Drosophila melanogaster: one gene and its partners. The protein of the gene in region 1 interacts with the protein of each later gene in a pairwise test. Each region holds a gene or a part of one and is shown in the gene's direction. Other genes may lie near its edges.

What was found.
Region 2: the proteins of ssp3 (region 1) and CG4511 interact in a two-hybrid assay, tested with the Drosophila melanogaster proteins (one large-scale study listed by BioGRID).
Region 3: the proteins of ssp3 (region 1) and msd5 interact in a two-hybrid assay, tested with the Drosophila melanogaster proteins (one large-scale study listed by BioGRID).

The regions. Positions count from the first base shown.
Region 1 is NT_033779.5:18,940,920-18,945,903, reverse strand, and holds the start of ssp3 (short spindle 3), read left to right. Parts: upstream 1-1,943; 5' UTR 1,944-2,437; coding exon 2,438-2,627; intron 2,628-2,945; coding exon 2,946-4,984.
Region 2 is NT_033777.3:10,852,533-10,856,919, forward strand, and holds CG4511 (uncharacterized protein), read left to right. Parts: upstream 1-1,968; 5' UTR 1,969-2,064; intron 2,065-2,212; exon of another isoform or gene 2,213-2,263; 5' UTR 2,264-2,323; coding exon 2,324-2,500; intron 2,501-2,761; coding exon 2,762-3,235; 3' UTR 3,236-3,880; downstream 3,881-4,387. Other genes in the region: CG4565 (uncharacterized protein), read left to right, coding at 210-864, 920-1,074; CG6567 (uncharacterized protein), read right to left, coding at 1,122-1,829. UniProt on the Drosophila melanogaster protein: Has redox activity with thioredoxin. Required for male fertility and maturation of sperm past the canoe stage during spermiogenesis.
Region 3 is NT_037436.4:1,331,796-1,335,063, reverse strand, and holds msd5 (mitotic spindle density 5), read left to right. Parts: upstream 1-1,917; 5' UTR 1,918-1,950; coding exon 1,951-2,712; 3' UTR 2,713-2,757; downstream 2,758-3,268. Other genes in the region: CG2211 (uncharacterized protein), read left to right, coding at 543-551, 608-1,375, 1,432-1,647; msd1 (mitotic spindle density 1), read right to left, coding at 2,811-3,190, 3,246-3,268.

The DNA.
Region 1 (4,984 bases):
TATGCTCCGGCTACTGCACTCCTGGTCCGTCGATATGTTCAAGGATTTTTTCATGCTTCCAGGCATGCCGATGACGTATGTTGCGTCCTGCTCTAAAATTTGAGCTCAGAGTTACCTCAGGAAATTGCTGTATAGGGAATGTAGGAATCTAACTTTGAGTGGGAAAATCAGGAAATTTTGAAATTAGGTTCGATCATGATTGGAGAAAAATGATGTTGTATGCAGGCAGTTCAAAAATTGGTTAAGTGTAAATATGAATAGCCCAATATATCCCGTCCGCAACTTAATGCATTAAAATTAACTTTATACCCAATTCTACCGATATTCCTGAAAAATGTTAAATTCTCGTTCCCACTTAGACTAACTGTGTAACGGGTCGGTGAACTTAACTATATCGTTCTCTCTTGTTTTTTTTTTATGATGTACGTCTTTATAAGATCCCACAGTGTAACCTTTGGTGAGAGTAACTTAAATATTTCCTATTATTTATTGTACCACTCTGCGCCTTTGCGGTTTTAAAATTGTTGACATAAAGTAAATCGATTAAAGTCCACATTTGTAGAGCCAATGCAATCAAAATTTTAGCGAATCAGATTAAAGCCATTACTTCAATTCTTCAATTTAAGTAGTACTTTTTTTCTCTTTTGTCCCACTGTATTACATCTAATTTAACTGTCTAATGTCTAATAAAATCAAGGCTAAATAGTTGTGGCTAAATTGTGATGGAAATCTGAAATGGTTTAAATTCTATAGGTTGGATTTTCCAAACCAAAATTAGACACCGGACATAAGAAGTAGAAGGGAAAACCGCAGAGTGAACTCAAATATGTATTCTGCTCCGGAAACGCCGAGTCTAACTCTATCCACCACTCAATTCGCGGAATGATTTCCCCAAAACCACCACTCCATCGTGGCCCCGCTCCACCCGCACACGTTCACACATACATAGTACACCCTCTCAAAGCGACTCCATGGCGAGGCAACAAACGAACAAACAAACAAGCACGCAGCGCAGACAAACAGACTGACGTACGTGGGCCTGAGAAATTCACACTCAGTTGAAACGGAACGAAATCGGAGGTCGAGTGACTGGCAACGCGATAAATCTCATGGGTTGCTGGCTGCGGAGCCTGGCCGCCTGTTCGTTAGAGTCCATGAATCGAAATTGTGTGGCTCAAGTGACGACGGTGTCTTTTTCGACTTCGTTCTCCCGTTCGATGCCTTAATTCAAAAATTAGTGTTGGTTACGTTGCACTCGCTTCAATTGACGAGTGCGATACTCGCATGAAGATGATACTTTCCGTCTGGGAAATAACTTGTTTTTAATATCTGTCGGTAGGTAGGACATACTTGGAAAACAAAAACATTATATGTACTTGCTGCTCAAAAGTTGAGTTTGGGGCGGAGCTAGTACCGACTCCGGGCTCGGGTTCTTTGCTTTCGTCTTTTTCGCTCCGCCGGCGCTTCTGATTCGAACAACTAGAGCAGTGAGCAGCATCATTTAGATTTAGACCGGAATTGTAACAGGCGCACAGCGCCGATAGACCGGTTCATCGACTCGCCGCGATTATTCTCGCCCTCTAACTGTCCCGCTCTGCCGGAGCTCGGGTTGTCTCGCTCGCCCGCGGTGAGCTTTCGGATGGAGCTTTGCGGTTAAGGGCCAATTTTGAAGGCAATTTTGTAATCCAAAAATTTCAAATTTGAGTTCTTTTTTTCTCTTTCGCTGTTTTACTTTTCTCCTGTAAACAAAAGAATTATTGTGCATTTTTATAGAAAGTTTTTGTAAGCGTTAATGTGAAATAATTGTGTTTGGTATTTTTTCTGTTTTTTTTGTTGAATACTCAAAAAGTTGCTCTTACAATTGAATTTACTTATAATGTCGATTAAGTGCGCGCTCGTATCGATAGTTTAGCTTCTATCGATTACCCAATGACAGATATTGCACAATTGCAGCCCAACGCTTAAATCAGCTGGCTCTGCTCGGCTGAGTTTGGCAGAAATCAAAAATTCTAATTTCTCTCTAACCGACACAAGACAAGCAGCAGACAACTGGAATAGTGAAGGGGAATCTTTCAGGCATTGATTGAACACATCGCGGTTTCTTTAGACTCGTTACGCCTTTGGAAAATGCTACCAAGTCCACTGGCGTTGCAAAATTCTGCGATAAAAACAACAAAGAAGCGACGTCTGAAATAGGAGCAACAAAAAAAACGAAATAATCAATTAAAATCAAAGTGAAAGCGAGTGTTTTTCGCGGAGTGTCTATAACGTTAAACAGTTCATCAGGATTCCGATTGCTACAAAGGACAAAACCAAAAGTTGCGTGAACAGCTGCAACAGCTGCGTGGGCAGCGACGCGGCAGAGACGCCGGCATAAGCTGCGCAGCAACAGCAAAAACAACAAGCTTTTCGGTCTTTTTCTGTTTTCTTTCCAACAATGGAAATGCGTGAGGTCTTGAGTCGCGAGGGCAGAGAGGCGAAAAATCTGCTCGTCTACCAGTTTTGCGATGAGACAACCTCAAGTGGTGCTACCAGTGGTTTCGGATCCACGGGCGGCGACGTTGGAGGAGGATCAGGTGGCGATGGACCAGCTGTTGGAAGCGGAGGCGTTCTTTTAAACGGTGACTGTAAGAACCATCAACTGTTGCTATTGAATATCCGGTACTTGAGGAGTTTTTCTCTTAGTTATAAAATTACTTTTAGGAAGAGACTCATGTAAAATGCTTAGTCATTACATGATAGTGGCAACTATTGTCTAAAAAATTGCTTATAATATATATAACGTATGTTGTATAAATTAGTAGGCTTAATTTGTTTTAAAATGGTTAATTTAGGTATTCCTCATGTCATAACCTTATGAAAACGTTACAATTACCGAGTGTTCGACTTTTAGCAAATATGATATTTTATTTGAAATTCCCATTAATAACTTAAATCTTTTGTAGGCTATCGAAAGCCACCCATGGTGCCACCGAAGTCGCCCAACGGCACGCCCAAAAACTGTCAATCGCCCACTTCCCCACGTCTGAAATCCTCTGCCAGTGTAGGATGCGGCGGAGGCAGTAGTGGTGGGCCACGCGTGCGCAGCGCCTCCACAGGAAGGGACAAGAAGTCGGAGCTGCAGGCCAGATACTGGGCCTTGCTATTCGGAAATTTGCAGAGAGCTATTAATGAGATTTATCAGACAGTGGAGTGCTATGAAAACATTTCCAGTTGCCAAGAGACTATTTTGGTGCTTGAAAACTATGTGCGAGATTTTAAGGCGCTTTGCGAATGGTTCAAAGTGTCGTGGGACTATGAATCTCGACCACTACAACAGCGTCCCCAAAGCCTGGCTTGGGAAGTGCGCAAGAGCAATCCCACTCCCAGAGTTCGGACTAGAAGTCTCTGCAGCCCCAACAACTCGGGCAAATCCAGTCCAGCCTTGTTTCCGGGTACTCAATCCGGAGAAACCTCACCGTTCTGTGATAATGGACAGATTTCGCCCAGGAAATTACTGCGTGCCTATGACCAAGTGCCAAAGGGAGCAATGCGACTGAATGTCAGAGAACTTTTTGCAGCCAGCAAGAGAGCTACTCAAGGATCATCTCAATCTGATAACATGGAGGGTCCTCTAGATTTAAGTGGCGACAAATCTAATTTCGTGTTGCGCAGCACGCAGTATGCCCAAACGGATTTGGAGGATCCACATCTAACTCTGGCGGATGTCAGGGAGAAAATGCGCATGGAGGCGGAGGAAAGAGAAGCTCAAAATAGAATTGAAAATGAGGCTTTAGAAGAAGTGACCATTCCAATAGACAATGAAGACGCAACGGAAAGCTTAAACAAACAAGAGCCATCTTCGCTCGAACTACCAATTCATAACGTAGCGGATTTAAGCAAAGAACCTGAATTAATGGAAGCAGCTTCAGAAGCAACTGCTCTAGAGATGACTGTGGCTTCTCTGGAGTCTATGGAAAACGCCTTACTTAATCAGCAGGCAAATAAGGAGCCCACGCCGCCAAGCACTGTCATTAAACCACTTGCGGAAATTTTGAAGAAACCACAACCCTTAAATCCTTTATCAGGAAACAATGTTCAAAACAGTCCCCTTAAGTATTCCAGTGTGCTAAATCGTCCTTCGAAGAAGATGATTCCACCACCTGGAGGAGTAGCAGCTCAGAAGACCATATCAACCAAACCGGGTCTGGTAAAACCGAATTTAACGACTACAGTCAATGGTTTACGTAGCACCAAAACAGCTACAGCTCCTCCTGCAATAAAAACAACTGGAAGAAGTGGATTACAGCGACATCCCAGGCCCTCCAGCAAAACCGAGTGCTATGGTCCACCCAACAATGTGGCATCTAGATTGTCGGCACGCTCCCGAACCATGTTGGAAATAAATGGAAGAAACACCAATTCAAGTGCTAGAACTTTACCGAAGAAAACTAATCCAGGTTCCATTTTAAGCACGGCCACACGAACTAAAATGAGTTCCAGACTAAGTTCTAGAGAGGATATAACTAGTTCCACATCCACTCTGAAAGCTAGCAATGAACAACTTTCAAATTCAAGAAACACTTTGAAGGCGGAGAATCAACATTCCGAACCAAAACAGATTCAACCTCCGACTGATGCTGACGATGGATGGTTGACTGTAAAAAACCGAAGAAGGACCAGCATGCATTGGGCAAACAGATTCAATCAGCCCACAGGCTATGCCAGTTTGCCGACGTTGGCGTTGTTGAACGAGCAGCAAAAGGAGCAGGAGCACAAAGAAAAGCAGAAAGGCGAAGACGACGGCAAAGTTATCGTCAAAACAATATCGGCTAAAACTAAAGCTCCAATCGAAGTGGCTAAGGCTAAAGCGAAGACATCAATAGTCATAACGCGACCAGAAATCAAAAATGCCAAAGCTAAGGTTAATTCATTTCCCGTTCAGAAAAGCAACACTAATCAAGTGAAGAAACCAGAGAAGCAGGAAAAGTCTGACACCACAGCT
Region 2 (4,387 bases), on another chromosome or scaffold:
GCTTACAGCAAAACGGTCGAACTGGAACTGCAAGGATATACAAATGTGTTGCATCATAAAAAATAAACAATTTTCTTCCGAATAAGGGAACATTTTTAAATTCAGAGTGTGACCGAGGCAATAAAGTGTAATATTCTTCAGAAAGCGCAACATCCATTAAATGGGGAATCAATTCTCGTACTAGAATGTAATGTAAACAAACTTTAAAAATGGACGAATCTGAAACAGCTCCGAATGACGACTATGAGCACCCAGATGGACTCGATTACATATTGGAATCTGTGTTGATGCCCAGCGATGGAAGTAAAGAATTCAAATTCTTGGCGGACGAGTACAATTCTGTTCTTTTGAACCCCTGTCACTGCAAAGGAGCCTGCGAAAACAGCGAAGTCTGTGCACATGGAGGCCAATATGAGTTCACAGAAGATGGCAGCGAATTAATTCTTCGGAATTCCGCAAATCCTGTCATTGAGTGCAATGACATGTGCAAATGCTGTAGAAACACGTGCTCCAATCGGCTTGTGTACTCAGGCCCGAGGAAACATTTGGAAATATTCGATTCGCCCGTGTACGGATCCAAAGGACTACGGACTACAGCGAAAATTACAAAAGGAGGATACATTTGCGAATATGCCGGAGAACTTTTAACGGTTCCCGAGGCAAGAAGCCGCTTGCATGATAATGAAAAACTAGGCCTGATGAACTATATCCTGGTGCTTAATGAATACACTAGCGACAAGAAGCAACAGGTGACCATCGTTGATCCATCAAGACGTGGAAACATCGGACGCTACCTGAACCACAGCTGCGAACCGAACTGTCATATAGCAGCTGTACGAATAGACTGTCCCATACCAAAAATAGGCAAGTTTTATTGCTAATTCTGATCCGACTTCTCTCGTCATGTGTAATTTTTTAGGTATTTTCGCAGCAAGGGATATTGCGGCCAAGGAGGAGTTATGCTTTCATTATGGCGGAGAAGGGCAGTATAAAAAGATGACAGGTGGAAAGACTTGCCTCTGTGGTGCTTCAAAATGCACGGGTTTCATGCCAAATACTGAAATAGAAGAATAAATAAATTACTATTAAAGTTTACCTAAGTATATGTAAGTACTTGCCACTCAGAGTTTGTTCTGTACTTGGTTTTCCAGCGGAGGTAGTTTTTCATAAATCCATTGCTGCAGATCCGTGATGGAGGCAGTTTTCAGTTCGTGCAGTGTGTTCCTCAATGGATGAAATGTGCCCTTGACACCCAGTTTCGTTAGGTTCTCGAAGGTTTCCAGACCCCAGTCCTTAGGTACCAGAGTATCGCGTTCCCCGTGATACATTCGCAGCTCGGGAAAAGATTCGTCTTTGCCGTTGGCCAGGGAATCATAGACAACGGAGCCGCGGTTCAGGAACGAGGAATGTGCGAATACGCCGGCCAAGCTGCGTCTCAAATGGTAGCCCGTGTGCAGAGCCAAGGCTCCGCCCATCGAGAATCCGCCCACAACGATCCTGTTCAGCGGTATGCCGCTGGCCACCTCCTCGTCGATCAGCTGATTGACCGCATCATAACACTGGGACATGCTCTTCTTGCTTTCCGATGCGGCAATGTTCACGGACTTGCGGTCAAACCACACGTTGGATAGTTCCCCGTCCAGCGGGGTGTACTTCTGTTTGGGAGCCGTGGGATATATTATCTTTATGTGCGGGTACTCCAGATTCCGGCCGATAAGGAAGCGCACCCATTCCAGAACATTGGGGCCGGTGTCGCCGGATCCGTGGAAGAATATCACGGAGGCTGTGTGTTTGCCAGTGGCATTGACCGTTGTCAAGGCTGGCTTCATCTTTAATTCACCTTTGATCAACTAAATATATTGCACTATCGGAATAACCATCAAAGGGCGGCAGTGTGGCCAGGGGTTCGTAAAGAAACAGCTGACGGGAAATAATACTGTCATGGTATTTTGAACATTAAGGAGCCTTTTGTATTTTCCAATGTAAAGTCAAACGGTCACACGAATCCATACGTCTAAATAAACTTTTAAGGAGTAAAATCAATGAAATAAGTGAAAATAAAAGGTGAGTACCGTCTAAATAATCGATTTGTGGGCGCCTCCATCGAAATGCGCTGCGCTTTCCCCAAAACATGCCTTACTTAACTGAATTTTCCACAAAACATGACGCATCTGCGGCTCCATGACTACGCCTTTCCATTTGTGCCGGATCCACACGCACACACGCGCAACCATTGACGCCAACACGAACACACCACACGCAGAGTGCAAATAACGGAGAAACATCAAGACACGCAGAGGAGCAGCAACTGGAAGAGGACAACATGGCCAACATCCTGGAGAACCAACTGTTCACGGCCGCCAAGACCATCGAGCAGCAGCTGGACCAGCAGCTCGACCGCCTGGACAACCTCGATTCGGATGACCTAAAGGTCCTGCGGGAGCAGCGGCTCCGCGAAATGAAGGACCTGAACAACAAGAAGCAGGAGTGGCTCAGAAACGTAGGTGATCATCTCTTACAACACTCAATTATTGAAGATACTTCGAGATTGTTCTCTAAGTGGTATATGACCAAATGGTATTCAACATGCGACTTTTAAGACATTCGCGACACTTGCTTCGATTAATTCAAATTAGTTTTCAAATTGGGCTACCAGCTTAAATAGCTCAAAACTTAAATATATATGTAAAAATTAACTTTCAAAGAAAACCTTGTTAGCGCAACAATCTCATTAATCCCCAAAATTGCTAATCTTTTCCAGGGTCATGGCACCTACACCGAGCTGGCCGACGAAAAAGAGTTCTTCGAGATGTCGAAAAAGTCGCCCAACATTGTTTGCCACTTTTACCGCGACAGCACCGAGCGCTGCAAGATCGTGGACATGCACCTGAAGATCCTCGCGGCCAAGCACGTGGAGGCCAAGTTTTGCAAGGTGAATGCCGAAAAGACTCCATTCCTCACCCAGCGACTGCGCATCAAGGTGATACCCACCATCGCCCTGGTGAAGGACAGCAAGACCAAGGACTTCATTGTCGGATTCACCGATCTGGGCAACTGCGACGACTTCGCCACCGAAATGCTGGAGTGGCGCATCGCCCACTCGGGGGCCATTGACTACAAGGGCGATCTGATGCAGCCACCAGATGTGAAACGCAAACCATTCATCAACCGCCCACAGAAGACAATACGTGGAGGCTACGACTCGGATGACTCCGATATAGATCTGGATGACTAACTACGGGCAGTCCATCCCACACTCTCGATTACCCAAGCTCCAGCTTTCGTTCCACACTCCCACACAAGATACACTCAAAAGCGATGGAGTAACAAAAACGGACACACACAAATCAAAACCTAGCACATGGATCTAAACCAATTAGGCGTACTCTAGCGTTATTTATTTAATTATACGATTCCGATCCCTCTGCTACGGTCCCATCGCCACCTAGTGTAAGTGGCTAATTCGGTTGCCTTCCCCCCCGATTATGTGCTTTAATATCTATCAGTTCAATCAGCTGCCTCGAAGGCTGCGCCACTCTAGCGAGCTTAAGCGAACTCAAAATTTGATCTTTATGGTATTTGCAATTCCAAATGAATGTGCACCCTTTGCGTATATATGTTAAGTTGAGCATAGTTTTACAAACTGCCCTCGCCCTCCAGAAAACGGTGTACGTAAAACAAGAAACTAACATACACAGAGCATAAAAGACAAGAAACTAAATATCTGGCATATATATATTTTTAAAATTTCGATAAAAGGTGTATTGCATTTCCTACAGTAGAGGTAACTAACACTTACATATGTACAAGTTTTTATATTTATTTTTGTAATTCTACAAAGCATCAAAGGAAATCAACGATTAAATAGCATGTTCAAAACAATTGCAAGCGCTTGGTAATTGGTTGTAAACTTAAATGGTTCCCACACAGGTTTTTTGCATTTCAGATCGTACTCTTGGTAATATTTTATTTAAATCATACACGGGAAAGGCAGCTTTTTATTAAAATATGACTTTTTAACAAAAAGACTAGAATTTCTTTAAGAACTTATTATTTTCATCATTTATCGATATTATTAAACCTTACTTGGAAAACACAGAACTGATCATCGGGTTAAATAGTTTTGAATGAAATAATCCTGAAATAATAGGTTTGAACAAACTACGCTGCAGTTAAAGTAATGGTATTTCCCCGAACAGCTGATCATGAGATTCCGAAAATCCTCCCTTAACACAAGGGTTGCCAGTCTTGCCGCAGACGAATAACGGAATGGCCGCCAAAGACAAAAAGGGACGCCAACTGAATTTACCTGTAATGACGCCGTAATCCCGCCAATTGCAGCTTGCTCGCCATAAAACTACGGTCCAGACTATCGTCAAAATCGGTG
Region 3 (3,268 bases), on another chromosome or scaffold:
AACGATAAAAGATGAATGAAAACGTAAATGCACGCACTATTCAAGACACATTTTTGAGTTATTGTCACGTTGGCTTTGTACTAATCAGCAGAAAATCCCAGCCCGAACGATCTTTCCAAATTTTTAGCTGCTGGCCGATACTACGACCGAGCAAAGAGCGAAAAGTGAATGACAAGTGTGACCGCGGGCGAACCGTTAAAATATACGAAGAACGGCTGACAGGGCTGGCGAGTGCATGGGCACAGTTTGTGACTGAAGCCAGAAAAAATACTAAGCGTGACTAAAATTAGTTCAGTGTATAAATGTTAAAAATTACTTAAATATTTTTGACAATATAAGTGAAAGCAATACTTATACCCGCACATCATTTACAGCCCTATTAACATTTTAAGTTGTAAATATCTAAACTACCAAAACGAAATATTTGGTAAATTATGAAGCCCTGACAACTCTGTAGTCGATAGGCAAAAGAGCTCGCGCCATGAGCCTATCGTTCTCAGCTGTTTGGAAGCAAAACAAAGGGGAAGGACTATCAATTGGAAATGTTTCTGGTGAGGAATAATAAGTACTGAAGAAATGCAAAATAATAAAGGGCTGAACGGTCCAGTTCATCAGCCGTCCCACGCGGACGCTGGGCAACCGAATGCAGGCGGTTCGGGAGCGCTTGGGTCCGGACTTAGCTGATCAACTGGACGCTCTGCATCGTAATGTGATGCGGACTGGTCTGGTGTCCACACAGGAGCTGGAGGAGGCATTCCGCAAAACGCGCGACATGGACCACAACCCGAACCGGTTGAATCTGCTCTGGCTGCTGGGCATCGTGTTCTTCATCATGGTGGCCACCCCGGTCTTTTATGAGACCATCTCGTTCCTGCTCGGAGTGCGTTGCTTTCTGCCCAACAACTACTTGGTATGGGAGGCCACCAGGCCCATTAGTGACTGCGAGTTTTGTAAAGGGGTGAGGGCTCCCCTGATCTTGGCCAATCTCACCATGGAGGAGTTTGCACCGCACGCGTACTCCTCAATGCCCATCATTGTGAAGAGGGCGGTGGCTCACTGGCCAGCACAAAAGAACCTCAGCTTTGCCTTCATAAAAGAATTGTACGAAAGTGTCCCGGGAGCAATGGACTCAGATTGCCAGTTTCTGCACTTCAACTCTGATCTCAAGTCGCTGAAGCATGTGTTTTCCATGTCCGCGGAGCGTTCAAATCTTACTCAAGGAGTGCCCTGGTTCGTGGGCTGGAGTGTCTGCCAGCCGGCCGTCCTGGCGGAGCTCAGAAAGCTGTATCCCCGCCCGCATTTCCTGCCCTTCGATGCTGAAATGCCTCACACGGACTTCATATTAATGGGCTACGAGCAAGGGGCTGTGATGCATGTAAGTAAAAACCAAGAAATCAACGAATATTATGACTAATCTTTCAATTATTATAGCTTGATTACATTCCCCGCCTGTTGTGGCAAGCTCAGTTAAGTGGCAACAAGACCTGGTTTCTGGCACCTGCTCCTGAATGTGACCACCAGTGTCAGCCCTTCTCCTTCTATGTGGAGCCCGGAGATGCTGTGTTGGTGGACACACGCATCTGGTACCATGCCAATTCAATTCCCAAGGGTCAGTTTTCGCTCACCGTTCAGTCCGAGTATGGATGAGATGCACCTTGTAGTTCTGAGACTCAGAATTCAAACAGCCATGTTAGTCCAAACTTTCATATGGTATAAACTCCCTATTAAGATCTCGTTAAAACCACTGAAGACTTGAAATACGTGTAGTGCACTCTAAAAATTGTGCTTTTAAAAATAAAAACCCAAGTAATCCGTAAGCGATCATAATTTGTATAGAACTTTTGTTTTCAAATTTAAACCGCCACAGCTTGCGTTATCGATTTCCGATAGATGCGGCGCAGGCCATTCAAACGAAGTTATCAAAGGAGAAGTGAAGCGTAAACAATAAAAATGGAAACTAATGTAGATTTCAGCAGCATTTCATCCAAGTTGTACAGAAAGTACGCGCAACATGTGAGAAACCTAAAGGACGTGTGCGTATCCAAGACGGTGATGAAACCGGGGGCCTTCTTTGACAGCCTGCAGCAGATGATGGAGGAGGAGGCAGCAGCCACTACGCCCCCGAGGGATCTTAGCTCGGTAGCCGACTATGCGGAGCTCTTCAAGACCTTGGAAGAGTACCCGGCCAACCTGCAGAAAATGCCCAAGAAGCGGGAGCTACAACGTACCAACTCAACGCTCCTGCGAGGAGCAGACGAGTCGGTGGCCATGGGCATCAACACATCCAACGTTTCGCTGAGTCTGACGCGTCTGGAGGAGCAGCGCAGTGCCGTGGACGTGTACAATGATTTTAAGGGTTTCCAGCGAAAGCTGGCCAAGATCTACGACGAGGCAGCCGCTCTGGACACCACAGAATCCATATACAAGCAGAAGCTGACGCAGCTCCATGGATTTGCGCAGCAGCTGGAAAAGCTCATGCCAACCGGCGGTGAGTCTCCGCCAGATGCTTTTACATCCGAGCAGCAGGAGAAGCTTCTGACCATAGCCGCCAATATGGAACAGCTCAACTACCTGCGCTCCAACAGCCTCCAGCTGCCCAATCCCAATGAGATACTCGCCACCGGGAGTCTTGCCGCTCGCCTGGAGATGTTCGTAGAGGTGCTTACCTATACGCTTCTCCAAGTCAGCAGCTACAATATGGCCATGATTTGAAAACCTCGCTTAAAGAGCTTTAAATACAAATCAAATGTTTAATTTATTTAAATTATTTTTCAACTATAACATAATAATAAATTCTAAAAATGGATGAGCTAGGGGGAATCCTCGCTGGCATACTGCTCTTCCTGTGAGTTCTTCATCTGGCCCACGGTGTCGTAGAGCGCCACCAGCTTACGCACGGAGCTGCCAAGGTGCTCCACGCGATGCCTGTAGGCCAGGCAGCCCTCCAGAGCGCTGTATGTCTCCTCCCGCTGGTCACTGCTAGACATGAGCAGCTTGAAGTTCTCCAGGATCTTGGACAGGGTCATCTCAGCCTCCGGCCTGAGGTTGTACATCTTCTGGGTCTCCGACAAAGCCACATTCTGACTGAATGCCTTGCTGTTGGACTCGATGTGGAGCAATGTGTTGTTCGACCGCTCCATTATCTCGTCTATCTTAGCCAGCTGGCGGTTCATGGTCTGCCGATTGGCCGCTGAAATTGGAAGCACGGAATAGAACGCGTGTCGGTGGTTTAAAGATATATTTACCCATTCCCGCCAACATTTTGTCC